Regions from separate parts of the Mus musculus genome. Here regions 1, 2, 3, 5, 6 and 7 are each reported to be linked to region 4. The links are microRNA targets in miRTarBase. Many come from high-throughput screens and were not tested one by one. Region 4 holds a microRNA gene; each other region holds the end of a gene's coding sequence.
The links. The annotated mature microRNA mmu-miR-1981-5p reads GUAAAGGCUGGGCUUAGACGUGGC and lies in region 4 at 1,612-1,635, shown strand. An mRNA with a match to its seed (bases 2 to 7 or 8) in the 3' UTR can be bound and repressed. Matches are read on the target gene's strand: a 7mer-m8 pairs with bases 2 to 8, a 7mer-A1 pairs with bases 2 to 7 and ends in A, and an 8mer does both.

Region 1: the mRNA of Rprd1a is a reported target of mmu-miR-1981-5p. Seed matches in the 3' UTR shown: 7mer-A1 at 1,419-1,425 and 8mer at 2,879-2,886.
Region 2: miRTarBase lists Slc4a4 as a target of mmu-miR-1981-5p. Seed matches in the 3' UTR shown: 8mer at 3,127-3,134 and 7mer-A1 at 2,691-2,697.
Region 3: the mRNA of Gabpb2 is a reported target of mmu-miR-1981-5p. Seed matches in the 3' UTR shown: 8mer at 1,186-1,193.
Region 5: miRTarBase lists Asb3 as a target of mmu-miR-1981-5p. Seed matches in the 3' UTR shown: 7mer-A1 at 3,655-3,661 and 7mer-A1 at 3,166-3,172.
Region 6: the mRNA of F2r is a reported target of mmu-miR-1981-5p. Seed matches in the 3' UTR shown: 7mer-A1 at 2,093-2,099.
Region 7: miRTarBase lists Rcbtb1 as a target of mmu-miR-1981-5p. Seed matches in the 3' UTR shown: 7mer-A1 at 1,849-1,855.

What each region holds. Positions count from the first base shown.
Region 1 is chr18:24,484,841-24,488,840 of GRCm38, reverse strand. Rprd1a (regulation of nuclear pre-mRNA domain containing 1A) reads left to right here. Exons shown (of 7, transcript NM_144861.2): 7 at 510-3,879. The coding sequence ends at 659. Among named protein-coding and RNA genes, the nearest start is that of 2700062C07Rik, 16 kb to the right of the region's middle.
Region 2 is chr5:89,234,624-89,238,905 of GRCm38, reverse strand. Slc4a4 (solute carrier family 4 (anion exchanger), member 4) reads right to left here. Exons shown (of 27, transcript NM_001359211.1): 26 at 4,030-4,109; 27 at 1-3,399. The coding sequence ends at 4,066. Among named protein-coding and RNA genes, the nearest start is that of Gm35855, 11 kb to the right of the region's middle.
Region 3 is chr3:95,185,180-95,189,527 of GRCm38, reverse strand. Gabpb2 (GA repeat binding protein, beta 2) reads left to right here. Exons shown (of 10, transcript NM_029885.1): 9 at 244-374; 10 at 553-4,348. The coding sequence ends at 858. Among named protein-coding and RNA genes, the nearest start is that of Sema6c, 23 kb to the right of the region's middle.
Region 4 is chr1:184,819,752-184,824,099 of GRCm38, reverse strand. Mir1981 (microRNA 1981) reads left to right here and starts at 1,612; the gene lies at 1,612-1,693. Mtarc2 (mitochondrial amidoxime reducing component 2) reads left to right here. Exons shown (of 8, transcript NM_133684.4): 5 at 1,550-1,611; 6 at 1,694-1,765.
Region 5 is chr11:31,100,563-31,104,910 of GRCm38, reverse strand. Asb3 (ankyrin repeat and SOCS box-containing 3) reads right to left here. Exons shown (of 10, transcript NM_023906.3): 10 at 2,207-3,874. The coding sequence ends at 3,669. Among named protein-coding and RNA genes, the nearest start is that of Gm40822, 67 kb to the left of the region's middle.
Region 6 is chr13:95,600,278-95,604,625 of GRCm38, forward strand. It overlaps F2r (coagulation factor II (thrombin) receptor), which reads right to left. Exons shown (of 2, transcript NM_010169.4): 2 at 1,503-4,348. The coding sequence ends at 3,456. Among named protein-coding and RNA genes, the nearest start is that of F2r, 16 kb to the right of the region's middle.
Region 7 is chr14:59,234,509-59,238,856 of GRCm38, reverse strand. Rcbtb1 (regulator of chromosome condensation (RCC1) and BTB (POZ) domain containing protein 1) reads right to left here. Exons shown (of 12, transcript NM_027764.2): 12 at 1,592-3,638. The coding sequence ends at 3,498. It also overlaps the pseudogene Phf11. Among named protein-coding and RNA genes, the nearest start is that of Rcbtb1, 35 kb to the right of the region's middle.

The DNA of each region.
Region 1 (4,000 bases), not on the chromosome of region 4:
CAAAAAGGGGGAGTAGGTGGGCAGGGGAGTGGGGGTGGGTGGATATGGGGGACTTTTGGTATAGCATTGGAAATGTAAATGAGCTAAATACCTAATAAAAAATGGAAAAAAAAAAAAAAAAAAAGAAAATACACACTAGCCGGGTGGTGGTGGTACACACCTTTAATCCCAGCTCTTGGGAGGCAGAGGCAGGCGATTTTCTGAGTTCGAGGCCAGCCTGGTCTACAGAGTGAGTTCCAGGACAGCCAGGGCTACACAGAGAAACCCTGTCTCAAAAAAAACAAAACACAACAACAAAAATAGAAAAGACACACATCGTGATATTTAATTGCATGGCTATTATGTACTTTTACTGCTCTCTACTACCTCTGTAGCCCATTTGACTCAAACTCACAATGGAATGATCATTTATTTGCCAGTGGCTGAATAATACAAAATTCTGCAGAGAATCAGCAGAAAGCTAGACTGCTTTTTCAACATGAAAGCTAACGAGTGGTTTGTTGTTGCAGGAATACAAGCGCAAGTTAGCCCGAGTTTCCCTGGTACGCAAAGAACTAAGAGCCCGGATCCAGAGCCTGCCAGATTTATCTCGTTTGCCCAATGTCACTGGCAGTCACATGCACCTGCCCTTTGCGGGGGACATCTACAGTGAAGACTGATGGCCAGTCTCCTCCAGGGCCAGGACTTTGGCAGACATGGAGACAGGTTAGGTGAATAGTCCTGTAGAGTTATTTTTGTACATTGTTGAGAATGGTACTAACATAAGAAATGACAAGGAAGTATAAAATGTTAAAATGTTGGTTTGTTTTGCTATTTTATTAGTGAGTTAACATGACTTAGTTAAAACCAAGTGATGATTTCTGTGTATTAATGAACTTAATGATTATTTTCAAAAAAATCTTTTGTAAGTTTTTTTTTTGATCCAAGGCCTTGTGAGAAATTCCATGTTTCTATTTCTTCATGTATTTTCAATTACTTTTCTTTATTTTTTTTCAGTATCTAATCACTGTACACTATCTAATTCCTAATGGGAAGAACTGATCAGGAGCTGATGTGAGACTGTTTATGGGATCGTTAGAGCTTGATTATAGAAGAGACTAAATGTTTCAACTTCACCTTACTCTTGCCACCCAAATACTGGTTCTGTGTGTCCTCATGCCTTTCGAGTTTAACACTAGACATGGATGCCGTGCAGGGTCAAATAAAGCCTAGAGAAGGTTCCCCGGTAGTACTATAGTAGTTCCATCTCAAATGCCATCCCAGGATCGAAGGTCTGTTAACTAGACACTCCCTGGATCGCACTATTTAGACTAAGTGCAGTTAATGCTTTACGAATGTTGTAAGTTCTGCTGTCCTAATGAGCACAACTCCAGCTCTCCAGCTGACTGCTTCTGTCGTCAGTCTTCTTACATCAGATCCCTTTAACAAAACACCAGCTGTGGGGTGTAAAGGGAACACCAGGCAGCGACACAGTCCCAGTGCTTAATCCCTGCCCATGTCATGTAAACGTAGCTCTTAGCCTGAGCAGCTCAACAACTCAGTACCCATAGTGCTCAATTACGCAGCCCGAAACAGTTTATTTCTGTAATGTTTTTGAATGATTATATTTTGGAATTAAGCAATGCTGTACTACAGGGTAGATGTGGTGAGTTTTATATTTGTCTGTTTACAGGTGTAAATACACAGCAAATGTACCTTTATCTGTACTTGAACCTGGTGTGTTAGAGCAGGTGCATGCTCTCCAGCTTTCTCTTAAGTTCCACTGTGAAGCTGCAGGTTTGTGTTTCATGATGGCAGAGGGAGATGTTTTTCTCCTTTATTGCTTTGCATTTCTCATGTAATCGGAGTCCAAGTGAATAGTTTGTAGGACACCTTTTAGATTTCACAGGCCAGTTATACTCACTACTCTGAATGGCTTCACTGTTTCTTTCTCAGTATTAGAGGATATAGTTGAAATGAATTTCCATGTGAAGAAATGACAGGTAATTTTCTTTAATAGCCAGTAGATTTGGGAACAGTGCTTTAAACACTGGCCTTTCTCCAAAACAGAGTTACATGTATGGCATCACCCCGTCCCATGAATGTTCTATCTTCCAATGACAACTTTTGGGAATTAGGACACATTTCCTCACAGAAGCTATAGCTGTTCTCTGTGCACACCGCTGAAGCTCAACTGGAAGCCCAAACCACTGGACCTCGGATATGCTTGTAATGAGCTGACAAGTGGCTCTCGCACATCCTGAGCAGCGTTTGTCTGTCAAATAAGGGTTTGTGTGCAGCAGCCAGACCTTCACACTGGGGTGGCTGCCAGTGCTGCTATCCTTTCCTTAGGGGTAGTGATCTAAGAAAGAGTCAGCAAAGGAGATGCACATTACATACCCTGATTATGCCTGTTTTGAAAGTATGCCAAGTAAGTTTTTGTTGTTTTGGAAAGCAAAAGCTTTGTGTGTTAACTTATTTTCAGTATCTTAAACTTATTTATGATTTGCTGACACAGTGATTTATCCATCTAAACTAGATACTTTTCCATTTAAAACTAACTTATAAATGGTATACTCTTGGGAAGATATAAACTCTTTTAGAAGTTTCCTGAAATATTTTCACCATGAAGACAGACTTAGATACTCTTTTGATGCCACTATCTGATCTAAATATTTATGATAAAATGTATTATTTTTTTAAAGAGCGTGATGAGATCTGTGATAAATGCTAGTACTCAAAACCCGAATCCCCAAACCACAAGTTGTTGGTTAGCTCACTAATTGAACAGACTGTACAGTTTGTTCTAGAAGTAAGTTTTTCAGCCTTACAGTCGTTAATGTTCCTTTCTGAAAGGAAGACTAAACTTAATGGGCTTAAACCAGGTGTGGTGGTTCATGCCTTTAATTTCAGTACTTGGGAGGCAGAGGCAGGAGGATCTCTGTGAAGGCCAGCCTGGTCTGTAGAGTGAGATCAATGCCATTAGTTACATGAGTGAGACTCTGCAGTAAGAAAAAGAAAAAAAGAAATGGGCCTAGGTGAGGGGTATAAAATACCAAGCTGTAAATCATGCACATTTTCTCTCCCATGTACCGGAGGCAAATTACAAGTATGAGAGCAACCTGGTCTGGCCCTCAAGGGAAAGTATGTCACATTGTAGCAAGGTCCTGTGCTGTGAATGGACACCATTCCTCTTTTTTCCACAAACAGTGCAGAGAGCTGTCGGAGTGGCAATTTGAGCAGATTCCCGGTGCTCCCTCTGCTCCTACAATACTACAGTAAGTAAATGAGCCGTAGGGGAGCGGGGAGTCTGGAGAGGAGCTGAGCTCTGTAGCCGGCCTTCCCCGAGGAAGGCCGTCCTGCCTGTAGCTGCTGTGATAGCTGCTCACAGCGTTCTGAATCAGGGTTTCTCTGTAAGAAATCCCGTAGCATTAACAAAAACTACGATGATCCACCCTTCATGATTTTCACAGTTCAGAGGATGTTGTCTGCTGTCACTGCTGTGAGTAGCTTTGTGGTGTGTGGTTCATGAACTGGTCTGGAGTCTGGAGAGGACAGTGACTGGGAGGTAGGAGGGCCTTCCTCAGTCCCCACTCTGAAGTCATGCAAAAGCCCGACACTAGCTATTAATTGTACTAGCTATTAGGAGTTCCTCCTAGAGATGAGCCCTGCTTCTCAGTTGTGCTAGAAAAAGCTTTTGACGGTGTGAATTCAGTTCTTCTCTGTACAGAAGGGAACACTGGGTTACTTAATGGATTTGTGTATACACAGCATCTGTTGCCATCTAGTCTGCCGTGTCAAGAGCACATGGAAAAAGGATACTCCATCTTTTATAAACCCTTTTCTTTGGCTGTATCTGATGACAGTGTAAGATCCTAATAAAGTTTTATGTTCTTTTTGAAGAGTTTGTGTGTGTGTGTGTTATTTTCTGAATCCAGTTCATTGATAAAGGACAGGAAGGTGTGGGGCTAACGGGAGGGAGTTGGGAAAGTCCTGGGAGTAGTCAGTGAAGCAGAGACAA
Region 2 (4,282 bases), not on the chromosome of region 4:
TCTCAGGTCCTTGCACCAAAATCGTGAAGTGGTATGGAAAAAAAAAGAAGATTGAAGAAAACTTTGTCCCATTCCTGATCAATGCCAACCTCTGTAGTATAACTCAAATGTTTTTTTTTTTTAAAGATTCTCAGCAGTCAATACATTTCAAGTACTTCAACACAGTTAAAATAAAAGAAACAAAAACATGGAAGACAATCATTTGCTATATTAAACAGCAACACGTGACTGACAAAGGATTTACTCTGTGTGTGTTGTTACATGTGCCCAAAATGCACATAAGCCAGATTACTGACAACAGACAGCCCTTTCTCTTAGGTGGGGGACAAGAAGGAAGGTCTGGTTTGTGTCTTCTCAAAAGAGTACTTCCCAGCCCCACCCCACGGCTTTATCAGGAGAGGCTGAAACAATACCGCCTCTGATATACAAAACCATTAGTAGTTTCTGCACACAGTAGGACAGGACCAGCATCTCAGCATCTCGGCAAACTGGAGGCCTTGATGCTTCGACAAGCAGGCTCAGCCTGCACATCTCTCTCCCAGCCAGTTTGCACTACCACAGTACTCCTGGCCAACAACTCTGAGTCTTTGCTTCAAGAAACACTTATCTCCAAATTCACATCCAGGGAGGAAGGGTAGAAAGGCATTATAAAGAATTCATTGCTGTATTTGTGTCCAGTTTGCATAGAAACAAACCACCATGAAATCTGCTTAGTTATCGGCCAATGAGCAAATTCAGCCAGATTCAGATACTGCGGGGCATCCATGGAGATTTGGAGTTCTGCTTGTTAGTGTGGGAACTCAGGTGGTAATGAGAACACTCGTTGTTACCTACTCCTCAAGCAAATGTCAGGTATGGCTCTATGTTCAGTCCATGAATACTAACATCCACCCCAGTCACAGACTAGGGACCATACATGGGGTGAGATAACTTCAGGATCTACTCAAGGACTGACGTGACTAACTCCAGGAGCTCTCTGAAAAGTAAGAGGAGGGTCATGAGTCCCTATATAGACTTGATTCATAATTAAAAATTATTTATATATATTATATATATCCAGAGATTTTATAAAAGTAAACCAAGTGTCTTTGATTCAACATCAAGATTGGACTGCATTTACAATGCATGCTTTTAACATTTTACTGATGTGTTTATCCCTAAAAAGGTAAGATTCCTTACACGGTTTAATAGAAAACCAGAAAATGCACAACAACCATTTTCAGGATAACCCTCAGAACAAATGCAATGTAAAAATGTATCATTTGAGATGGTAACAAATGACATGTAATTTGCTGCTATGACTTCAATAACAACAACAAAAAACCCTTGGGGTCGTTCATGCCTAAATACTCTAAAATCTAAAGTTTCAAGATGAACAAATGCCATGGAAGTAACATCTAGCAGGATAATACAACTCTGATCAAGATTTCAGGAGAGCGGGGTTACATTTTCGTTCCTGTAAGAAAGTGGGAGTCTGTAAGAGCCAACCACAGACCCAGTCATAGTAGGTGGTTCCCTTCTGCTTCTCCAATGCTCCCAGCAATCTCTCCCAGTGAATGTGTATCACAACTGTTGCTATACAAATCCAAAAATATGAATTCCACATCCAAACTATTATCTCAATATATAATCCGCATATAACGCAGCTTACTAAAAATATTGGAATCAAATGCCACATCAATTTGGCTAAGGAAAGTCTAATTTTCAACTCGGTCTATTGAAGCACACAGATACACACACATACATGTGGTCTAATAATCCTATCCTATGAGGGCATGTAAATGAACACTTTAAACTTTCCTTGCAGATCTATGTGCATTCCTATACCATGTTACAGATGTGTAACACCACAGAGCTGATAATATTCATATGGCTTTTGTATTGTAGCTCTAGACTCTTGTATCTGGGATGCTGACTGATGTCTGAGTAGTAAGATATCTTCACCTGAATGTCCACGATACATTTCTTGGCCCCTGACAAAGTTCTTATGAGTGGTTTTGGATTTTATGAAAATGGACACAAGGAGCGTGACAGCTTTGCCCTCTGGCTACTGTCACTTATCTGGCTTTGCACAGGTGTGCAACAACCACACACAGAGTTCTTACACAAAGACACAAATTATTAAAATGAGGAAATCCCTAACAATACTGCATAGGATGTCGACATGTAACATGCCAGCATCTGTTCCCAGCACAGTCATTACCACAGCAGAAGTTATTCCCCCTGCACACATTTCTCTCTGCTCCCCAGATTCCTTCACAAAACAGCTACATTTATTTTGAAAAAAGGGGAGAGGGGAACAACCCAACAACCCAACAGATTCTTAGAAGCATGGTGTTTTGTTTTTCTTTTAATTTGTTCTAGCCTTCTGGCTTACCCTAGATTGGTGTGTGTGTGTGTGTGTGTGTGTGTGTGTGTGTGTGTGTGTGTACGTGCTCACGTGCACGCATGTGTGTAAAAATCACATTATATACAATACAATTTTTACAGAAAGCCTGGCAGCTACAGGTAAGAGGTAGAACTACTCAAAACTATGTTTCCTGCTGCAGGAAAAAAATTCATTTTCTTTACAGTAATTAAAAAAAAGTTTAAAAAATTGACAAAAAATAAGTTGCAGGTTAGGCCCCATAATTTAAACAACAAAATCTAGGAAGAAAAATATTCTTCGATGTACTCAACAGATAAGTTCATTAAAGGGTTAAAAAAAGTTGCATAGGAAAAGGGACATTCCAGCACTTGCTACAATGATGGCAAAGGTTTCTCTACAGGGAGCGAAGTACCTTTAGTGTTTTCTGCTTTTGATAACTCTAAGATCAGGGTTGGCGAGCAAGGGCAGGTTGGTAGCAGCACTTTTCCAGTCTTGGGGATTCTGTAAGCAGGAAGGGACTCTGTCTGGAGGTCAAGGGCTGCTCTGCCAGACAGAACCAAGCCAAGCTCCAAGCTTAGGTTGTAAGTTCTTTCAATAGTTTCATAAAAGGTGATACAAAAATTCTCGTCACATTTGATCTCTGCTTGACAAGGGCGGTTTCTGTGTGTCTTGAGTGACAAAGGGATTTACATGTCGGAGGACACATCTGAATGTATGAAAACAAGCGTGTGACCCTCAAATGCTTCTTTTTTTTTTTTTTAAAGGCAAGGGACACTATTGTCTTGATTTTTACCTATGCAAGAGAGAAGCAGAGAGAGTGACTATTATTCAGCCAGTGACCAAACAAAAGATTTTAAAATACATAGACAAAAAAAAATTAGAACAGTTAACAACAGAAGTGTCAGTTTTGAGAAGGACAAACAGGTTACAACGTGGTTTCTGTTCCCTTGCTCCTCCAAAGATAATCGTTGTCTTCAGGCTCACGTTCGATTCTAATTTGAGGCACGACTTTCACTGGAGTTCTTGGAGGACTGAAGCAAGACAGAAAGAGAAACAGAAAAGGAAAGAAACATGGAGTAAAGACAATTTTCATTATCATCTCTGAAACGCCCATCGACTGGACACCCTAAAAATGTATCACACTGTTCCACCCAATGCCTACCTCTTCCATATGGGTTGAGAACAGGGACTTTTAAATGAAGCAGGGAAAGGAAATTCCAGCAAAAATGGTCCGAGGTTTCATATATAACAAATAGTCCCAAAGTAAACAAAATGAATCTACCATGTGGATAATATTGTTAGAGAGGAAGGACTAAGACAAGTACCCGCAGACATTCATAGTCCGCTTTTCTGGGATTCAGATAGGACTTATCATTTCCAGACCCTTGTTAGAGAGAAGGAAACTACTGAAGAAAGCTACCAGGAAACTCCAGGTACCCTGCATGGCAATAAAATCATAAGATCCTATTCGTCAGCTTAATGACACTGACACTTCTCATTATTCGGAAGAGTAACGCTCTTTCAAATGCTCTCCATCAGCAAAGCCTGGGTGAGTCCTGGGGTATTTTTGTAAGTCCCAGAGAAGAGAGCAAGGGATTCTGCCCATAGCCCCCACTGCTGCATTTTCCCATAGCACAAGACAAATGCTGACTTTGCTTTACCTGGGTAAACCCAGCGACTCAAGGAAAGGAATTTTATCAGCATGATGTGTGGCGTTCGAGGAATGTTGAGGATCTTTCTCCTGGGAAGAAAAAAAATATATCAAATGAAAAGATGTAGCTCTTTTTGTAAAAATGTAAAAGTAGAGTGAATATGAAAATCTCCATGCAAATCAAGGCACCTTTCAGAACTGAGAAGAGTAGGAAGATCAGGTTCCGACAGTGGCAATGAACATTGCAACATTGTATCGAGGTA
Region 3 (4,348 bases), not on the chromosome of region 4:
AGATATCACAGACAGTGTACTAGGAAATGCGGTGTGATTGGAGACTGCAAACACTAAAGAGAGATCATAGAAAACATGTCAGGGGAAATGGGGTGTGGCTTGGTGGTAGAACACTTGCCTGCCCATAAAAGAATCCATACCCAATGTATAATATTAAATTCACTTTTCTCTACTTAAAATCAAACAAGCCTCCTTTGTATATTGTGTGCTCATTTTCTCCCATTGATGTGCTTTGGCTTGTAGTTCTAACTGTGCCTGCTGGTCAGGTTGCAGAGGAGACAATAATTGAAGATGAAGAAGAGGAAGAAGAGAAATTGCCATTGGTGAAGAGACCAAGGATGGCAGAGATGACAAACAGGGTTGAGGAAATGAAGGTAATGAATGCTTACCAGTGAGCAGAGGAGGAGGAAGGCATGGACACCATGGTGAGCAGAGGAGGAGGAGGGCATGGACACCATGGTGGTTAGGGCTGACGCCCTCTTCATTTTTCCGTCTTCATCTGGGAAGTTCATACTCGGGATTCTTACTGTGTTGCCGCTGATTGCTTTACAGGAAGGCAGTGAAAGAGAGCTACTGCAGCAACAGCTCCAGGAGGCCAACCGAAGAGCCCAGGAGTACAGACACCAGCTCCTCAAGAAAGAGCAGGAGGCCGAGCAGTATCGGCTCAGGCTGGAGGCTATGGCTCAGCAGCAGACCAACGGAGTTGAAGTTGATGTCACCGTAGTTGAGGAAGTAGCTGAAGTGGATGCTGTAGTGGTGACAGAAGGGGACGAGGTAGAAAGAGCAACACAAGTCATGAAGTCAGGAAGGACCACGGAGCCTCACACTAACGTTTCCATAGAAACTATTTCATCCTAACACCAACGGCTACAACTTGTGCTCACTCATCATATTCTTTGTAAGAAGAAAGTATAGACTGCAGGTACTGCATACAAATTAGAATGTCCTTAAGAGGGTAACAATAGCCGGGCTCAAGGCCTGAGCCTAGGAAGGCTGTGTGTGCAGCTGGAAAACTCAGAGCCACTTTAGGGGCATCTGAGGGACCAAAGGACCAGGACCAAATCTCTCAGCTCATATCGTTGCTTTAAACAGAGTACTGGGCATTGTAGGTTGAATTTCTTTTTTAATAGTTAGCTTTATATCGAAAGATTTTAAGATAGTACTTGTAATACATATACACCAAGAGCCTTTAATAGTTACACCTGAAATTTTTCAAGTGGCCTGAAAATATGCCTTAGATTTATGAGATTGATGCAGTTGTAGGAAGCCTCCTCTTGAGGAAAAGTAAAGGATAGCATACAGTTGTAAAGAGCAGGCACACAAGTTCTCCCTAGTTAACCTACTGAAAAGAAGTCCCTAAGCCAGGCGTGGTAGTACACACCTGTGATGTCAGCACTCAGGAAGCTGCAACAGGAAGTTATTTGAGGTCAGCCTGAGCTAAAGAGAGTCCTTCAATAAAAGAGGGCCAGATGTGGTGACACATGCCTTGAGTTCCAGCACTCGGGAAGTAGACACAGGCAGATCTCTGTTGAGTTCAAGGCCATGTGGTCTACGTACCAAGTTCCAGGCCAGGCAAGGCTACACAGTGGGACCCTGTCTTCACATATAGCAGAGCACAGCTGGGGTGGAGAAGTGGTGCTTGCTCTTCCAGAGAACCTGGGTTCCATTCCTAGCACCCGAGTCAAGCTGCTCACAATTACATGTCCATCCAGCTCCCAGGGATCATGCCCTTTTCTGGCATGTGTGTATATCCACACACATACATTTATATATACATATCAATGAAAGAGTTTTAAATTAATAACAAAAAAATTAAACTAGTTGAATGCAGTGGTTCACACTTTGGGAACCTGAAACAGAAAGATTACGAGTTTAAAGCCAGCTTGAACTCCATTGTGAGTTACAGGTCAGCCTAGGCTACAGTGTGGGATCTTAGTGCAAGAGAAAAATCAAGTGTCATGGTGTGCACCTCTAATTGTAGCACTCAGGAGGTAGAGGCAGGAGGATCTCTAAGTTTGAGGCCAGCCTAGTCTACAAAGAGTTCTGGTATAGCCAGGGCTATACAGAGACACTGCCTCAAAAATAGAGAAAAATTAGCAAAGAAGGGCTGACTTAGGAATACCTGATAAATTGTGTCCATTGCTTAGATACAGTATAAAAAAAAAAATAGGCATAGTGGCACAGCCTATAATCCCAGCACTTGGGAGGTGAGACGGAAGACCACTGTAAGTTAAAGATCAGCTTTGGCTTCAGTGAGATCTTTCTCAAAATAACAGCAAAAACCCGGAAATGACCAGATGGAGCAGTGACGGGCTCTCATCCCTGCACTTGGGGAGCAGAGGCAAGCAGGTCCTTGGGATTCTAACTAGCCTGGCCCACAGGGTCAGTTCCAGCCTAGCAGGATTACTCAGACCCTAACAAGGACTCCCTGAGGACATAGTTCAGTGGTAGAACGTGGTGCTTAGCTTGCAAGGAAGCCCTGGGTTCGTCCTTTGACACTGTATGTACACAGCGAGAGGAGGGCAGAAGTGCAGGGAAGAAAACCGTTGACAGCAGACTTAAACTCAGGAGAGAAGCTGTGCTGCTGATGGGTAGAAGCTATGTGCAGAGCAGCACCCTCCAGGCTGTGCTTCCAGAGAGAGGCTTCTGGGCTCTGAGTCTCTGGTCTTGAGATGGAAACTATATATTGGCTGGACTTTATAAACCTGCAAGCAGGAGGATCACTTTCAAAAGTTTTTAAATTAATTTTTATTTGTCATTGTAACAACATCTTTCATCCAAACATCTATTTATATAAAGTCAAGCCTAAAACTCTTTAAATTATATAAAATTTGGCCAAATTTTCTGTGTCATGTGGGACACTGGTGCTTTCTGTAGCACTGAGCACTCTGTCAAACACAAAGCAGTGTGGCAGACTGACCAGGCTGGGGAGGTTTGCCCCTGTTGATTTAGTGTGAGTGCATTGCTGCTTCTGTTAGTGTGGCCATGGAGTCTGTGCCCTGTAGTGCTCAGGTGACAAAGGGAGCAGGTATCACTGCCACAGCAAGGAGCCACCCCAGGCCCATTGCTGACCTCCCCTCTCCCTTACTCCACATTCCCCTTGCTCAGACACTTGAAACATTTTCAGTGCTAGGCTTTTGAGGAAGGGTTGGGGCAGGTCTCTCTAGCATGAAGTGTGTGTTTGTGTTTGTATAGCTGGGCACGGTACTCATGCCTGTTAGCAGTCAAGAGCTATAGGAGGAGGGTTGACATGAGTGCAAGGCCAGCCTGAACTACATTGTGTGAACCTGTCTCAAAAACCACAAAAATTAGACACCTGAGCATTGTGCCTCGTGCCTGTAATCCCCACTCAGAGGATCACTGGGGGTCTCAGATGAGACTTCTAGGCAATACAGTGAGATGTACTCTAGGGCAACATGGACCACAGAGACTATATAGTCCAGGATGTCTTGTACTGTAGTCCCTTGTATGTCTTTTTATGAGGTCCTGGGTTCAATCCCCAGGACTGCAAAAAACAATATTTAAACGTCTTATAGACAGGATGTGATAGTACATGTCTACAGTCCCAGAACTGGGCGAGGGAGGCAAGAGGTCAGACGGCGAGAGTCATCCTTGGCAATTTCTCAAGTTTGAGGCCTGCTTACACCAAAGTGGGAGAGGAATAAGCACTCAGAGAGGGATTGGGGTAGGTGATGGGTAACGTAGAATTGCTTGCCTTATTGTACAGGTGCCAAGTACACTTTTGAATAACTGTTGAGAATAGGTTTCCTGATTAGTGATCATGAAGAAAACATGCATTTTTAACCTGGAAAGAGCTTGGCAGTTAACATGGTTCTGGTTACCTTGATTAGTGGGATAATTTGTTGCAGTGTTTCAGAGGTATAGAATCATTTTTGGCTCAAAATAGACTGAAAACATAATTCTCCAAATCACATTTAACAAAATTGAATATTAGAGGTTTATAGGCAAAAATAACCATTTTGAAGTTAACCTTGACTGCTAGCACTGTCTGCTCCAGGGATCTGAGCATCAGGGATGATCTAGTGTGTAGAGAGTGTTGTGGGAGCACAGGGAGGAGGCGTGTGAGGTTGAGGATCCGTCTGCTGTGGATTCTTCTGTTTGCAGCGCTCTTCTGAGACACCCAGGAAATGGGGTGCTAGCAGTAAGCTATTGTGAGTGGCATTTCAGAGCCTTGGTAACTAGAGGGAGCAGGTTTCTTTGTAGGTGGCTTTTGTTTACATCCTTAGAGCACATGTTGAGTTTAATTTCCTTCCTTCTTTTAAAGGAATAGATGCTAACTGCAGAGGATAACTGTACCTAACCACCTCGTTATCTCAAGTAGTATCTG
Region 4 (4,348 bases):
CATCTTCAAATGCCCCATTTCTCCTAGAGGCCCAGACAAAGGAGTGTACGGATTATCAGTGGGTCTCAGTAGATCAGTCACAAACCTTCAAGAGATGGACCTAGGCTGTAGCCTAGGCTGTGGGGATAACCCGAGTCATGGAATTCCCAGATCTGTGCCCATATCCCCCAAGGTCTGGAATTACAGTCGTGGGGCATCCTGCCAAGCTCCTAAATCACTTTTTAATTAATAAGAGGGACCATAATCTTTATGTAGCTCTATGTAAGCATGTGACTGTGTGATATTAAATGTATAGCTACAGACCTTAAGGTGCTGTAAAGACACCAAGACAGGATCCTCTGACATCTGGATGATGTCACGTGCAGACACGTGACAAAGTGGATGCAGGAGATCATGCTGATACATGAATCTGTTTCCAGGTTAGAGACAGGATCTGGGGCTGAGGGATCTGCAAACTCACCGAAGCTGATCTCTCTCTCTCTCTCTCTCTCTCTCTCTCTCTCTCTCCCTCCCTCCCTCCCTCCCTTCCTCCCTCCCTCCCTCCCTCCCTCCCTCCCTCCCTCTGCTTGGTCACGTATTCTCTGTCTTGTCACACTCTCACAGCCTGCTGCTCCTTGTCCCATTCAGTGTGTTGGCATTCAACCCCTGATTGAAGATACTTAGGCACCTGTAGGATATAACCCCATGATCTGTATATATGCCCTTATATGTATACATATAATTTATAGATTCTACCAACTCGGACAAAAGGTGACTTGGTGTCTGGGGAGAAGAATATGTGGTTAAAAGTGTTGTGTAATCATAAGGATTACACATTTGGATCCTGGCACCTGGGTAACAAGGCAGGCATCCATCTCACAAACATTTGTAACTGCAGCTCTGAGTGTCCTGGTGACTCCCAATCAGAAAATTATTTTTGTTGCTACTTCATGTTGCTACTTTTGTTCCAGTAAATATGTTTGCTACTGTTGGGAATTGTAATGCAAATATTTTTGGAGATAGAGGGTTGCCAAATGGGTCGTGACCCACAGGTTGAGTTAAACCTTGGGCGAGAGCAGACTTGTCTCGAGAGCTGCAGGTTTCTCTTTGTGTGGTGGAAAGCCGTCCGGGGAGTCGGCTGGGTTTCTCTTTGTGTGGTGGAAAGCCGTCTGGGGAGTCTGCTGGGAAGCGCGCATTTTGGAAGGCTTGTTCTTGCTGACCTGGCAGAATCAGTGATTGAGGTTGTGAATCAAGAGGAAGATGCCTGGCGCTGAGAGGCAGTGCTCTGATTGGCTGCCTGGCGCTGAGAGGCAGTGCTCTGATTGGCTGCCTAGCCCCCTGTGCACAGGCATTGGGTTCCATACTCAGTTCTGCAAAATAGTTAAGGTGAGCCATGTGTCCCGAGCTTGACTGTGCCTCCCTCTCTCTCTCTCTCTCCCTCTCTCTCTCTCTCTCTCTCTCTCTCTCTCTCTCTCTCTCTCGCACTTTCCAGACTTCTCAGAGTCCTGCTGCTGCTGTCATGTGTAGTACCTGACCAAGGCTCTAAAGCCACCTCTCCCTGTTCTCCTAGGATACTTGGGATGAACTCCTGATTGGTGACGTGGAGATGAAAAGGGTGTTGAGCTGTCCCAGGTAAAGGCTGGGCTTAGACGTGGCCTTTGGGTGTGGAATGCACTTCCGTTTGTAACCGCCATCTAACCCTGGCCTTTGACAGGTGCGTTCTGACTACAGTGGACCCAGACACCGGCATCATAGACAGGAAGGAGCCACTGGAGACCCTGAAGAGGTAGGACACCAGCGTGCGCCCGTGTTGTTGATATCACCAGTCAGGCACCAGGTGTCTATGCGCTATCCCAGGGGCACCTTTGATTTGTATCTGTCCCTCAAGGATGTGAGTCCCTGTTTCTTCCTCTTTTCATATTTTTAATTTTTCTAGGTGGATCCTCTATTCGGATACATTTTTAGTTGTACAATGTCCTATTTTAGAACTTTGACCTCTCACCAACTTCTTTTCTGATGTGTGTATGTGTGTGTTTGTTTGTATATGTGTGTGTGTGTGTGTGCATATGTGTGTTGATGGTGTGTGTATGTGTGTATATGCATGTATGTGCGTGTATTTGTGTGTGAGTAAATGTGTGTGTATTTGTGTGTGAATGAATGTGTATGTTTGTGTGTGAGTATGTGCGTATGTATATGTGTGTATATGCATGTATATATGTGTATTTGTGTGTGGATGAATGTGTGTATGTATGTGTGTATGTATGTATGTGTGTATATACGTGTGTGTATGTGAATGTGTGTGTATGTGTGTATGTGTTTGTGTGTGTCTGTGTGTATGTGTTTGTGTATGTATGTGTGTGATAGTATGTGTGTGTGTTTATGTGTATGTGTGTGTAGGGCAGAGGTTTACATTGAATGACTTTATCGACTGCTTTTCATGTTTGTCTTTTGAGTTTGTTTTATAGAAATTTCTTGTTTTTGAAAATGATCTATTTATTTTTTATTTTATGTGCATTGGTGTTTTGCCTGCAAGTATGTCTACCTGAAGGTGTCTGACCCTCTGGAGCTGGAGTTACAGACAGTTATGAGTTGCCATGTGGGTGCTGGAAATTGAACCCTTGTCTTCTGGAAGAGCAAGCAGTCAGTGCTCTTAGCCTGAGCCACCTCTCCAGCGATTAGACTTATTTTCAAAGGGCAGACCGTCTAGGCAGTTTAGAGCTTCTGTTACCAGCACTCCGCTGTCTTCTCACTCTCAGACACGCACACACATGTGTTCTCTGAGTGAGGAAGAGGTCTCCACAGTTCCTTCCTGCATGTCTTTCTCATCTCAAGCGTCACACATGATTCCTTACGGGCACATTCACTTCTCTGCATCCGTGTCATCAATTTCTAACCCAAATCCATAGTCTGTGGTCATAATAGTCTTAACTTGGTCCAGATTGTCTGCGGCCAGGTCTTCAGAAAATGCTAGGTGACTAGGAGCTGCCTGGGCCAGGCTCAAGGCATACGGAACTCGGTCCTTGTTCCCTCTGATGTCAAAGAGGCACGTCATACTGGCAGTAGAAGCTGTACAGTGGGGTTACTAGACATGGGATGTGTGAGCCTCTTTCTGTGGAGACACAAAGCAGTGTTGAGTGGCTGGGGCAGCGCCAGCTTAGAAAGCAGGGACAGCTAGAAGCTGAAGACACACAGGCTGCTGTGGCTCTGCCCACCCAGGATGCACTTCAGTTTATGTTTGAGACAAGGCCTCTCTCTCAGTGGCCAGTGAACTTGCCAGGGAGCTCCAGAGATCATCTGTCCCTGCCTCCCCAGTGCCAGGATTGGAGGTGGGTACCACTGGGCTTTTTCTGGCTGCTGGAGATGTGACTCCAGGTCCTTAATCCTGCACAGCAAACACATGACCAACAGAGGCATCCTCAGGCCCTCTCATCAATTTCTAATATTCTAAGAGGCCCCGGGTTCCACCTCAAACATTTCAAAAAATATAAAAGGACAAAAAGGCCCCATTCAGCATTTTTTAGGGGTAGCTGGTTGTTTTGTTTGCCTTTCTTCTGTTTTGCTGTGTGTTTCTAACGTTATTTCATGAGGCCTTTGGATTTTCAGTTCCATTTGTGTCTGCTTTTTAAAATACAGTCAAGGTAATTTTTCTTCAGTAGTCCTTGGACTTTTATCAGCAATCTGACTGGTCAGTGATATTACTGCCTTAATTTTTGTTTGGATCTTAATGTTGGAGAAATTGAAAGTACTGGGAACCAATGCGTCAACCCAGAGCTTTGGCAAATGTTCTAGTCTTCATCACCCGGGTAAAATAAGATGCCTTGAGGGAAGCAAGTTAAGGGAGAAAGAGGTTTATTTCAAGCCGGGCAGTGGTGGCACACACCTTTAATCCCAGCACTTGGGAGGCAGAGGCAGGCGGATTTCTGAGTTCGAGGCCAGCCTGGTCTACAGAGTGAGTTCCAGGACAGCCAGGGCTACACAGAGAAACCCTGTCTCAAAAAAACAAAACAAAACAAAACAAAAACAACAACAAAAAAGAGGTTTATTTCAGCTCCCAATTCCAGGATCCAGTACATCATTGTGGGGAAGTTGGGGCAAGAATCTAAAACAGTTAGTCACGTCACTTGGAGTCGTGAACAGAGAAATGAATGCCTGTTTGCCCACTTGCTTGTGCTCAGCTTGCTTTCTCCACTCTCAGATAGTGCAGGACACCCTGCTAGGGAATGGTGACACCCGCACTGGGCTGGGACTTTCTACATCAGCCCACAGGCCAACCCAGTGTAGAGAGTCTCTCATCGAGACTCTTTCCCTTGGTGGTTCTAGGTTGTGTCATTGACACTGAAAGCCAGTCACCTCAGTGGGTGAAAGGTGT
Region 5 (4,348 bases), not on the chromosome of region 4:
CCTTATAATGACTTCAGATAAATTTTTATTATCTACACAGGAAAGTAGTGAAGAAGATATACAAACCATTTGATGATAAAAGGGGCATAAGCAGATATCTTCGAGGTCTTGGTGTACGAATGGCAATTCCTACCTGCTCTGTTTCATCAGTTCATGCTGAGCAGTAAAAATCAGCCAAGACACAAAGAAATCACACCAGTATTTACTAGTTGTACCAATTTAAGTTACTTTATAAACCCAGATGCCATGACTCACATCTGTAATCCCAGCTTGCAGGGGATGTAGGTGGAGTGAGTTCCAGGCCAACCAGAGCTATAGTTCCAGAGCAGCATTAGCTACAGTAAGACCATTTCAACACCCCCCCCCCATTAAGAAAAAGCCATCATAAATGCACATATACTGGAGTGGTGCACAAAATATGCAGTTGCGTGGTTACCTTGGACAGAGACCACATGGCTAGAGAACGTCCATCAGGTATTACCTACAATTCCATATTCTTTATATAAATATGAGGCTGGGTTTTTTCCCTTTCTTCGGGTAACCTTAGACAAAGAATTAGCAGACACAGTTTTTTTTCTTTCTTTCTCTCATTCTCACTGCTTCAGAAGTCTATAAGCACTTGACTTTAGCTTGGCTGAAGGTTTCACTGCAATGATTTAAAAAAAAAAAAGAATGGACCAAGAAAAAAAATGTGAAATTGGTTAATTTTAAGTATACATATTTTTAAATTCCTTAACTTTCTGCATAGATTGAAACCATAAAAACCTCAAAGACAAACTAATGGACCTGGACGGGAGGATGAGTTACATCTTCCTTTCTTTCTTCTGTATGGGGAGGTCAGTGTATGTATGTATGTATGTATGTATGTATGTATGTATGTATGTATGTATGTATGTATGTATGGATGTGTGTGTGAAAAGATTCTCTCTCTCTTACAGACACAGACACACATTATTTTTTGAGGACTCATCCATATCCTAGGCTAGCCTCTAACTGGCTATGTACTCGAGCATAGCCTCGAATTTATGATCCTCCTGCCTCCACCTTTAATTTATTAATATCCTATATTTTCTTTTCATATCAAATACTTAAATATCATTACCCTTATTTCCAGGAGGATTTGTTAAAAGATTAGCATAGTAACCAGTTAATAAATGTCCTTCAATTAACACATTATTCACCAAAGCAACTCCACAATATCATTTAAAATCTACACACAACTTATTCAAAGTAATTCTTCATTAAAAATATAAACATATGCTGACCTCATAGTGAACCACTGATGTTAATTCAGTTGAGGCTGTACCATATGTTACAGAAAAAAAAAAGCATGCACAGTTCCATCTAATTAAAATGGTAGGATTTCATTGGACAAAATAATTGTTTATTTGCTGCAAGACATTATGCACCAACAATCATTTGTCATTTAATAAAGCAGTAAAAATGATAGATTGAAAACAAAAACCCAGCAATTGGGCCTTGTAGGTGAGAACAAAAGAGAGAAAACAAACCAAAAAAACAAAACAAAACAAAAAACCAAACCTGTAATGTCAGAGTTACTAAGTTTTCCTTGTAGTTGTTTGTTTAGAAATTTCTTTTTAAAAGGCAAGAAAAATGGAAATAGCATGATTATAAAATTACTATGCTAGTGTGTGCAAGTTGTCAAATATGACCATATTTAACTAAGAAACACTGCCTCCTCCCAAAGGGAATGTGTTCCTGAGATGCCTGAGGCCCCCACTGGCTCTCATCAGAATGCAGGAGTTTTCAAATAACTGCTTCAAGTCCCATGAAGACCTAAGTAATGGACCTCCTGGTATCAGTTTTACCCACATGTAACTCCTGACACAATTACATGTGCCTGGAAAAACAGGTATACACATCCACCCACTGAAGATATAAGCCAATGTGTTTAATGTTCTTGGTTTCTCCAGTACTTAACTATGAGTACTAATGCCCTCTACAGTCACCCTCCAGTCACATGGCTGGCCAGGTGTCACAACTCATTATCACTGCTCAGCATCATCAGAATCCAAGAGAATCTCATACTATGTATTGCTGCCTTAGGAGACGATCAAGCTTCAAAGTGCAGTTTCTATGAGATGCTGGTCACCTTTCCACTACTATAAAGTCAAAAACTCATCAGCCAGGGGCTATCTGTATTGACTTTCAGAGCTTCAAAAAGAAAACCACAATAATAACTTATGGGAAATCAGGGTTTTATAATACATTTGGACATGAACAAAATACATTAAAAGGTAAACTCTTTTAAAGCACTCTATATACACTTGGCCATAAGCAAAAACAAAACCTGATACAGAGTTTGAAAAATAAAAGTCACATTATTTTAAAAATAAAATTTTAAAAGTTTGGAATATCTTTATTAACCAGAACTATCAGAATTTCTGCCTACTTTTCAATACCTAACTTTATATCCTCACAAAACAAGACTTGAATGTAAAGATGAGCTTGTCTTCCCAATCAGTTATCAGTAAGACATTATGCTTCTTTCAAGGGCTTATCAAAATGCGACCAGCTGATCTACCCAGTCTCAGGTTGCTGGCAAGAGATGAAGGCTTGCCTCCTTTAGAAACCAGCCTGTTCTGTCTATATTGACAGCAACACTCTAGTACCTTCTTAAGGCTAGTTTCCAATTCCCTAAATAACTGATTTGATCATGTTTGATTTTTCTTGACTCGAGGTTTAAATAAAATAGTTGTAAAAATTCACAAGGCAGTAGTATTCTGAGGTCCATATTTCATCCACGATCTGAAAATACATCCAGACATTAAGAAAAACATTATATTGATGTGATATAATTGACTATTGGTGACTAACAGGAACAAAGCTGCTCTCTTATTCTGGAGCTGAATGAAGCCTGGCTATTATATTTAGCATTAAATTAATAAAGTGTGCATTCTTTCCCTATAGATAGTGCTGTATGAATGTCCTTTTCAGGTTTCTTTATTAATATTCTAAGTGCAGTAAAATACTTCTAAAGATGACATAAAATAGTTTATGCTGTGTATGACTTTGAGTTTAGATGTGTTCTTGTCTTTGCAAACTAAAAATCAGGTATCTTTTGCCAAAAGTATAAAGAAAGAATGAACCTAGGGGGCGAGAGATCAACAATATGACTGACTTTTTATGTTCTTTTTTTTTTTTTTAAAGGACTCCTGATTTTACATGTGAAAATGCAAGAGTATCAACACCTCACAAAAATGTTTGAATTAAGGACTGAGAACAGATTATAACATGGAGGAAAGTTTCCTCTTAATAAACATTGAAGATATTCATCCCTAAGTAAAATAATAATGAAATATAATTCAAAAGGACAGATGTTATAAATTCTTCTGGGGAAATTTATGGATTCTATCCTTAGATTCTAGCACAGGTGAACATGAATCCTAAGTAGAAAGAAGTCACATCCAGCACCACATCAGAATTACAGTTTATTAGCAGAATAAAGTAGAAAATGGTCAGGTAAACAAATAATACACAACAAAGTGCACTAGAAATAAAACTGAGTAAGGCAAGATGGATAAGGTTCACAATATTGGGAAAGACACAAACTGGGAAAAGCAACTGTAAACATGGACATTTGATCACCAAATCCAAACAGTCACACAAGCCGTCTTTTGTGACTAAACAGAATTAAAGGACCTGTGTCAGGTGGCCTTGCTGGTTTCTCCATCCTGATTAGCTGCTGGTTCTAGAATCTCATTCATTCTTAAAACCTCTTCATAGAGCAAATAGTTCTGCAGACTTCTGGGAAGTGGCAACTGATGGATGAAAATGTCAGAGTGAAGGTGCTCTGCTTTTAGACTGGCCCGAATTTCCAAACGACAAAGATGGGTTAGGCTTGGAACAGAGGCTGGAGAAACAAACAAACATAATTTTCACTAACAGTGGACTGAATAAATGGTTGGAAAAGTAATAGCTCTTGTTGTGAAAGCATGACGACCTGAGTTTGAACTTCAGAAACAATGGAAAAGCCACAGTGGCGGCCAGCACCTCTTACCCAGACAAAAACAGGAGCATCAGTGTAGCTTGCTGGCTACCTCCAGATCCAATGAGAGACCCTGTATCAAGGCAAGTGATATACTAACATCCTCCTGTGGCCCCCAACATGTACACACTATCATGAATACTTACAAAACATACACATACACACAAGCAATACATTAAGATAAGCATCCAGCCCATTTTATACAATAAAAAAGAAACACTACGTTGCTTAGCTCATTTTGAAAGAAGACTACTGGTTCAGCATGACTACATGAAACGTGTATGTACTTTTTCCACTTGCTTGATCTCACTTCAATTGGTCACATACTCAAGTCAGCAT
Region 6 (4,348 bases), not on the chromosome of region 4:
TTGGAGGCAGTCTTTCCCCCTTACTTGAGTTATTGTTTGAGGGTTTCCTACATTTGTGTAATGGGCTCCTTCATTTTCCCATGGCCCTTTGTGAAGAGAAGCTGTGTGTGTGGAAGCCCTGGGCCTCGGGATGGAAAAGGCTGGCTCACAAAGCAGGTTTAATGCTTTCCACTGGCTTCTGGAACTCAGGCCTTCCTCAAGGAGGAGATTCTGCTACCCCAAGTTCCTCAAATGAAATGCAACCTAAAAGTTTCCAGCTGCATATTCAACAGCCAAACGAACGATCCGTTTCCTCCCAAAAATGTTGCTTTTGACTTGGAGGCGAAAAGCACAACATGTGTTGTTGTTGTTGTTGATAAAATTCAAGTGTGTTATTTGAGCTCAAATGCATTTCGAAAAGTTGTAATAGGAGAGTTTAAGATTGCTTTCTGACTAGAGGCAGGGTCCTTGTGCTGGGGGTCCCAGCTGAGGTGACCCCCCCCTGGTTCACATACTGTGTGTATGGCTTAGGAAAACCACGTTGACAACTCTTTGTGCTAACAGAATGCTTATTTAGATGAAGTAATTTTTAAAAAAACTGACCGTGAGTCTAGATACACTGTACTAAAACCTTTTTATTGATTTTTCAATTCTCAGGGGTTGAGCACCATTTGGCTTCACCTCCTCCCCTCAGGGAGTGCTACACGGCACAGGATGGTCATTCATGCCCAAGAGGTGGCATTGCTGTCCCTGTTTACTGCCACCCTCTATCAGGCTTGCTGGGAATGTGCAATCCCCCTGCCTCACCCTGAATACAGGGTTGACAGGCCCCACAAATGCCCAGTGCCCCCCTCAGACACGTCTGTCTCTTCCTAAAACAGAACTGTAGATGTAATTCACAAAGCTTGTAAGTTGGGAAACCCGTCTATTTTCAACGTTGTAATCAATTTTCCAAAAAGGGGATTGAAAAATGGGAAGATAACCAGCTAACGAACGCCTTTCAAAAACCACGCTGTACGCGCTGCGCTGTATTCGTCTCTCCACTTACTATGCTAGATCCCTTCTCCAGGCCCAGGGAAGCTGACCTACGAGGGATGTCACCCTGGTGCTCTCTCCATTTGGTTCTGTAGCTGAGCCCAGGAACAGTCTTCTCACCTGTGGAATTTAGAGGGAGTGTCTGTGGTGTGGTCAGAAGGTGAGGGAGGGGTTGGGGGGGTAGGAGGTGGGATAAAGATGACGGTGCCCCTACATACAGGTATGGAAACACAGATTTAACCACACACACACACACTCACACAATGGGAAGCACCAGCAAGGGGTGGGAGAATCATGTAGCAGGGATTAGCCCCTCACTGTCATCCTCGCCCTGTCCCTGGCTGGTGAGCGGTATCCCTAACCTGTAGCCTCTGGGGAGCTTCCTCATCCACCGCTGACCCTTTCACTCTAGCTACAGAACTGTAAAGCACCCATTACATCACTAAAGAGTGCTGTGCACTCCCACCGGGGCCCACAGGAACAATCTATTCCAGACACCAAGCATGGTTTTAGTTTATTAATATATTTTTTTTTAAAAAAGAGGGTGAACACAAAACAATGACGTAAAAGGTCACAAGCGCGGTGATAACAGTTACATTAAGTCACAGACAGAACACGGGACAGGGAGTCAGTAATTGAGATCAGCCAACACCGGAACCAAGTTAACCATACAACCATAGGACTTTCGTGGAAGCGACTCTACAGTATTTGGAAATACTTTGTTCTCTTAAATAAACAACCTTTCTACTCTTATTTGCTTAAAATGCCAACATATTTTTTCATCAGAAAAAGGATATGTTTTAAATTAATTTTCAAATTATTTTGTCAAAGGTATGAAGATTTTATATGCTTGTTAGTCACTGTGGCATTAAAAATGCTTTACAAATAATCTCAATAACTCAAGAAAAATACAGAATAAATTTCAATCAATGAAATTTCCTTTCATTACTATTATTTTTAACCAAACTGACCTATATATTTCTTAAAATTGGACTTAAGTAAAACTTTTTGTGTTTGCTTGTTTCTTAAAAAAAAAATTGTTTAAGATCTGCCTGCCTCTGCCTCCCAAGTTCTGGGATTAAAGGTGTATACCATAATGCCTGGCTGATTTGAGTAATTTTTGAAAAAACATTTGTAAATAAATAGTGTGTAATTTTGTAGGCTGAAGGGCATATGTATTAAAAATATACATCTTATACTGTGTTTTTATCCTAATCTATAGCTACTGGAAGCAGAAACTCAGATATGCAAAGCAGTTTAGCTGATAGGCCTTGCTTATGTGAAATACACTTGGTCACATCCAGCTGAAGACAAGTTCTATGTGCATCATAGCTGACCACATGCCAGCTCTCTGCGTTGCCTGAGTAAGGACAGGACTCGGTTATTCTCCTATAGTCAGTCTATGGCCCACTATCCAACAGTGTGACCAGGGCATGTGGGTGTGTCTGTCTGTGCAAGGGCCAGCCTTGCAGGACAGCTACTGGATGTAAACACACCTTTCTCCTCTCGTCAGTCTTTCATAGTTACTGCCTCCCAAGATGGCATACCTTACCTTGCCAATTTCTAAAAGACACAGTCAGCTCACAGCTAATGAGAATCCTAGCAGGATGGGGTGGGCCTGGTGCTTCCCATCCATCTCTGCTCTCTGGGAGGCATAGCCGAAGGGGTGTGATGTACCTGGTGCTCAGAGGCCTCCATGCAGATGGCTGTGTCTAGGCTTGGCTGCTTTGTAAGGTTTATTACAGTCCTGGTGAGTCTTATGCTCAGTCTTGGTCCATGTATTCAGTAAGTAAATTGCAAGTTAAAAAAAAAATGCTACCCATATCAAAACGGGTTTTCCAACAGCCTTGATAATTCTTAAAACTACGGTATGTTCAAGATGAAAAGTATTAGAGCTTCCCCTACACAGGTAATACTGTCTCATCCTTCCATCACTAACCATTATTATCAAATAATTTGAAAAAAAATATAGGCAAAAGCTGTGTTAAGTCTAAACTACGGACTCCTCCCCTATCATTAGGATCTCCAGCTGCCCAGTGCTAACACCCACCAACTCAGACTTTGTTTATTAAGTCAGAGAATCAGATTATTTCCATAGTAACGGCCAGGGAATAAACAAAAATGTGTCAAAGTGCAGATTCCCTCCTGCATGACAAATGAGTGTGTGCATACCATCTATATATTAAAGTCACCTAGATATATAAGAAGTGACATCCAGTTACTATCATAGCACTAGCAACACTGGACACCTTTATTTCCGTTCCCGTCACCTTGCTGGTAATTATCCAATCTAGACTCTTGATAGCAGAAGTATTCGTGCATATCGGATATTGGTTGTTTTTTAGGTTTCGAAGTAAATACAGTTCTTTGCAGGGACTAATGGGATTCCCCGCTGTTGGCTTTCCAACCTTTTCTCATGGAACCTTCCAGCAACCCTTTCCCTAAGCTAATAGCTTTTTGTATATGCTGTTATTCAGGTGACTAGAGCAGGTATCCATTTTACTCGGCATCAGCTGGCCGGTGCTGTTGCAACTGTTGGGATCAGAGCTTTCTTTGCAGCACAAGATGCTGTAGAGGTGCCTCTGGCACTCGGAGGAGGCGTAGTAGTAAATCAACGGATCGATGCAGCAGCTCACGCTGCTCACACAGACGCAGAGGAGGTAAGCAAAGTAGGCTGCCTCTGTACCAGGACTGTCGGAGAGGAAAAGGTAGTGCACAATCAGGAGGACGTTGGTGGGCCCAAAGCAGACGATGAAGATGCAGAACACCGCGGCAGACAGGAACAAAGCCCGCGACTTCTTGCTCCGGTTGGCAACCGCGGAGGAGCTCAGGCACCGGATGATGGACGTGTAGCAGACCGTGGAAACGATCAACGGCACAAGAAAGAAGATGGCGGAGAAGGCCGAGAAGTAGTACGAGTAAAAGCCTTGCATCAGGTTCTCACTGAGGACGTCGTGGCAGGTGGTGATGTTGAGTCCCGGAACTCGGGTGGTCTGCTCCTTGAGGAGAAGGGGCACCACCCCCATGATGGCCATCACCCAAATGACCACGCAAGTGAAGTTGGCTCGGCCCAGAGTGCGCCAGGACAGGGACTGGATCGGATACACCACCGCCAGGAACCGGTCAATGCTTATGACCGTCATGAGCATGATGGAGGCGTACATGTTCCCGTAAAACGCTGCGGTGGCGAAGCGGCACATTCCAGACCCGAACTGCCAATCAGTGCCGGAGAAGTAGTAGCTGATCTTGAAGGGGAGCACCGACACGAAGAGCACGTCGGCCATGGCCAGGTGCAGCATGTACACCACGGCCGGCTTCTTGACCTTCATCCTCA
Region 7 (4,348 bases), not on the chromosome of region 4:
TCTGTCCTGTGCATTGCTCGCTGTTACCCTGGGTTTCTGCTCACTACCACATTGCCAATATTTAGCACACTTAATAAATGCTTGTCAAAACCACTGAAGAGTGCACCGTTTATTTAATACAGTCCCAGGCAGCTCTCGGCTGTAACAAGACACAATGCACTCTTCCGTGTTTACTAATTTGTGGGGCTTCATCAGAATCTTTTTAGAAGTGTCCTTTTGGCCACAGTCATTTCAAGGGCATGCTTCATGTTCAAGACCAAGCTTTTGAATCTGGGCTCTTTGACTCAAGCACCATTAGGGAGAATAGGGGATGTGGAGCACTAAGACTTTCCCCACCTGACAGTATGCATCAGATCTGTGTACCCACACTGCCCCTGACCCTTGACTCCTCTCACATCCACATTTCTCATTTCCTCCCATGATCCTCTGGGTCACAGTAATGTGCCTGACAGAATGGGATTGAGCTGTGTCCCAGCATGGTATCTTGTTTGTAATGTGTTCTCACACACTTGTGAATCACTCCTGGTATAATACTGTGGGTACCAAGGCCTGCCTAAGCCACTTCAGGAGGGATCAACTGGAATGACTGCCATCTGAGCACCCGTCAGAACCAGCTGGGACCCTTTTATGTTAGTGCTTCCTCTGCTGCTTTACATACAGCTGGAATCTGTTCATCTCAGTAGATTATACGGCACAAAAGCACCAGTTGTTTGATGTTTACAATGTAGGCATATATTGGGCAAACTGCTAAAAGAAACCTCCTGTGTTATTACTGAAAAATGAGCCAAATCCTCACAGCCATGAACTCTCTATAAGGAAGTGTATGGTGGCTCAGGGCACAGCAGAGGGCACTGTGGGTGTAAATGTTAGGGATCCTCATTCAATGGTGCATTTTTTTTTTCAGACCTAGAGCCAGGTTCATGATCATTCATGTTTATTGTACTGTTTTCTAGGTGAGCTAACATTTCATGTTTTTCCGTATTGTACAGAAAACATCTTCAGAACAATTGTTTGTTGAGTCCAATCCATTTGGTTCCATTATATGAAAATAAATGCTGGTGAGACGGTCAGCACTTGTCACCAATCTGATTAACTTGAGTGTTTTGCCAGAACCCACACAGCTGAACTAACTTTTACCAGCTCTCCTGTCACCGCCACAAGACTGTCATGGCACATGCACCCTCTCATGTACAAAGCTAGTTCAAAAATTCTGCAAATATTCCATTAGATTATTGGTTGTTAGTCCAGTTCTCACAACAACTGGTATGTCTCACAAGGATAGTGGTTGCTAACTTTTCAGTTTTGTTTATTCTTTCTCCATATCAACTCTTAAAATATATAGTTCAGTAGTTTAAAATATAGCCAAAACTATTACTCATTCTAAACTACTTCACCTTGTGACACAGAAACTACACATTTACCATCTGTGTCCTCTCCCAGCTCCTGGCACCCACTCTCCTTCAGGATCACACATTACTTGCTCTTTTGTAGGGGGTTATCTTTTCTGACTGAAGTCCACATATTCATCAAGTTCCTCCCTTTGTTCAGACTGCATACTACTAAAGAGAAAACAACCACAACTGTACAAGTGTGCCTTCAGAGGTTGTTTATTAGCATGTCAATCAAGAAATTACATAAATGCATCCTAATTACTGAAGTATAAAACTGGTTCCAGTAACTTCAAGGATACAGTTTGGGATCTTTTAAGAAATGTGACTTCTCTGGCTTCCATTATTATATCAGAAGAAAACATTAATTTCAATAATAGTTTCTTGCTTTCTATGATTATAACCAAAACCAAGTAGAAAAATAAAAAGATTGCATTTAAAAAAAATTTGCAAACCCTTTTTAAAGGACTTTTCTTTCACTAACACACACACACACACACACACACACACACACACACACACACACACACACACACACACAAAAACACCCTAGCTGTTCAGCAAGCTAAAAGTGTGTCTTCAGCTGGATCAGGAACTCAGCACGTTTTTGTCAGGTGAACTGTCTACGGGTGTGGATTTGCAGGTGTAATTTGTGCTTTTTCGTGGGTAAGTTTTTCAAGTAAGACCACCAGTAAATGTTCTAAAGTTTCTGCTTTGAGGCCCTAAGTCTACAGGACTGAGGTTCTACAGAAGGTCCATTCACTACAGCAGTTCAGATTAATGTGCACTCATCATCTTGGCCAGGAAAACTGCCACCTAGGAGGCAGTTGTCACTTACCCATGCACCAGGCAACAGCTGTAACATGATCAGGAAGAGGGGCTTTGAGCTCTTGTTCCTATTTATCTTGTTTGTCAACACACATGCCTGCCTGTCTTTGGTGCCTCAGTCACCATCCACCCTGGCCTAGTATTTTACAAATGACCTTTTCGGGAAAGGCATGAATAGGGAGCCCTAGCTGAACGTATGACAAATGTATTCCTAACACAATTATAGAAAGAAAAAAAAAATCAACCAAAACTGGAGAGGTTAAGGTGAAGTTTCAATTAAGTTTTGATGGATTTTGGCCTGGACTCCTCCCACCACCGAAAACAGTGAGCATTCTATGGAGTCCTGTAAGAAGGGTGGCTTTAACAATCACATCAAGTCAGAAAAGAGCAGCCATGTAGAATGTGTTTGTGAGTAATTATAGGGAGAGGGGGATGGTAGTGTGCACGCTGGTCTCAAACACAACCTTAGTGAAGCACTGTTGGATAATTGGGGTGCGGGGAACCCTAATTTTTGTAACACTCTCCTCTCCAAGCAAAGCTCTTTTACCATCAGCTTCTCATAGGTACTTCTTGTCACTTCTCTATAGGGACCTAAATCTTTTAGTTCTTCTTCTTTCTCCTTTATTGTGTCTTTGTGCAGACATGGTACATGTGTAGCAGTAAGGGACAACTTATAAGTCAGCTCTCTCCACCATGTGGATTCTGGGGATTCAAGTTAAGTCATCAGGCTTAGTAATAAGAGCCTTTACCTGCTGAGCCATCTTTCCAGCCCTAGGTGCCTGTCCCTTAAGAGCATCTCAGCAAACCTAGTATTTCTTGACTGCTTAAGTGGGTTTAATGCATATTAAGACTATTTCTTAAGAGACCCCCACAGTGCTGATGCCCCCACAGGAGGTTGGTGACAGTGAGCAGCACTCAGGGAGCACTGGGCAGGGCCTGTCTGCCACAGACCATGTGGAAAGGCTTGTGGCCAAAGGTCTAGGGATATTTTCCTGGCTTTCTTAATACAAGCTCAAAACATCCTCTCATCAAAATTAAAAGAACAAAAGCATGTAAACTTTCATCCTTTCCCAAAGCTCAGTCAAATGTAAGAAAAACACATGTAAAACATACATGTAAAACATACATATCTAGACACAGAGTTGTAAGAAATGGACTCACAAGAAGCAAATATCCTTCATATATTCCTACAGAGCACTGTCTATGGTGTGGGGCTTTACCTGCAGATCACCGCACCCACAGTGCCCCAGAGCTCTCACACCTAGCCCAGCAGCCTTGGCTTCAGTTCTTAAAGGCTCCACATTTACTGGCTTTAGCAATGAACTCCTTTAGCAGGGGACCATCCATTTGCCAGAACGCAGCCGTCTGGGTAACTTCTGTCAAATGATTGATGCAAAACTTAAAGCAGAATTCTTCTAAATCCTGGACACATACAACAAAAACAAGAACAGGGAGAGGCCTTTGTTTATTAACTGGGAACTGTTTCTCAGCTAGTCCCTCATCCCAACTCTCTTACCCTTCCCAGAAGAGATACTGGAGACCAGATACCTCAAACCGTGTCATCAGAAAACCACCTGCCTTCTACTCAGAGCAGAGTAAAAGCAAGGTTTCCCTAAGTCAAGTGTGGCAGACACACACGCAGACACACACAGCCACACACAGCCACAAAATCATCTAGGGCACTCCAATGTATGAATGCAAACAACACTAAATAAAAGCTTTTCAACCAAAACTCTGACTGGTAAGCTGTAAGGAACTCTCCAACCTTTAGATGAGGGGCCGTGCCTTCCTGTGGGAGGAGAGCATGTAAATAAAGCTCAGAGTCTTCACACGAGAAACTACAACTTATAAGTCTGTGAGAAATTACAAAGTGGATCTAGGGTAGATCCAGTGTCAGATTTACTGGAATTAGAAGGAAACAACAAATTTTAAAATCGCTAATTTGAAAAAAATCCAAAATAAAAACAAGAATATTGTGTGTATGTTCTGTATGTTCTGTGTGTGTGTATGTTCTATGTGTATGTTCTGTGTGTATGTGAGGCAGGAGCACGGAGGTTCCAGGAACCCCTTGTGGAGCTGGTCCTCTCCATCTCAGGAATGGGTCCCTGCTGGGCTGCATGGAAGGGAGCCCA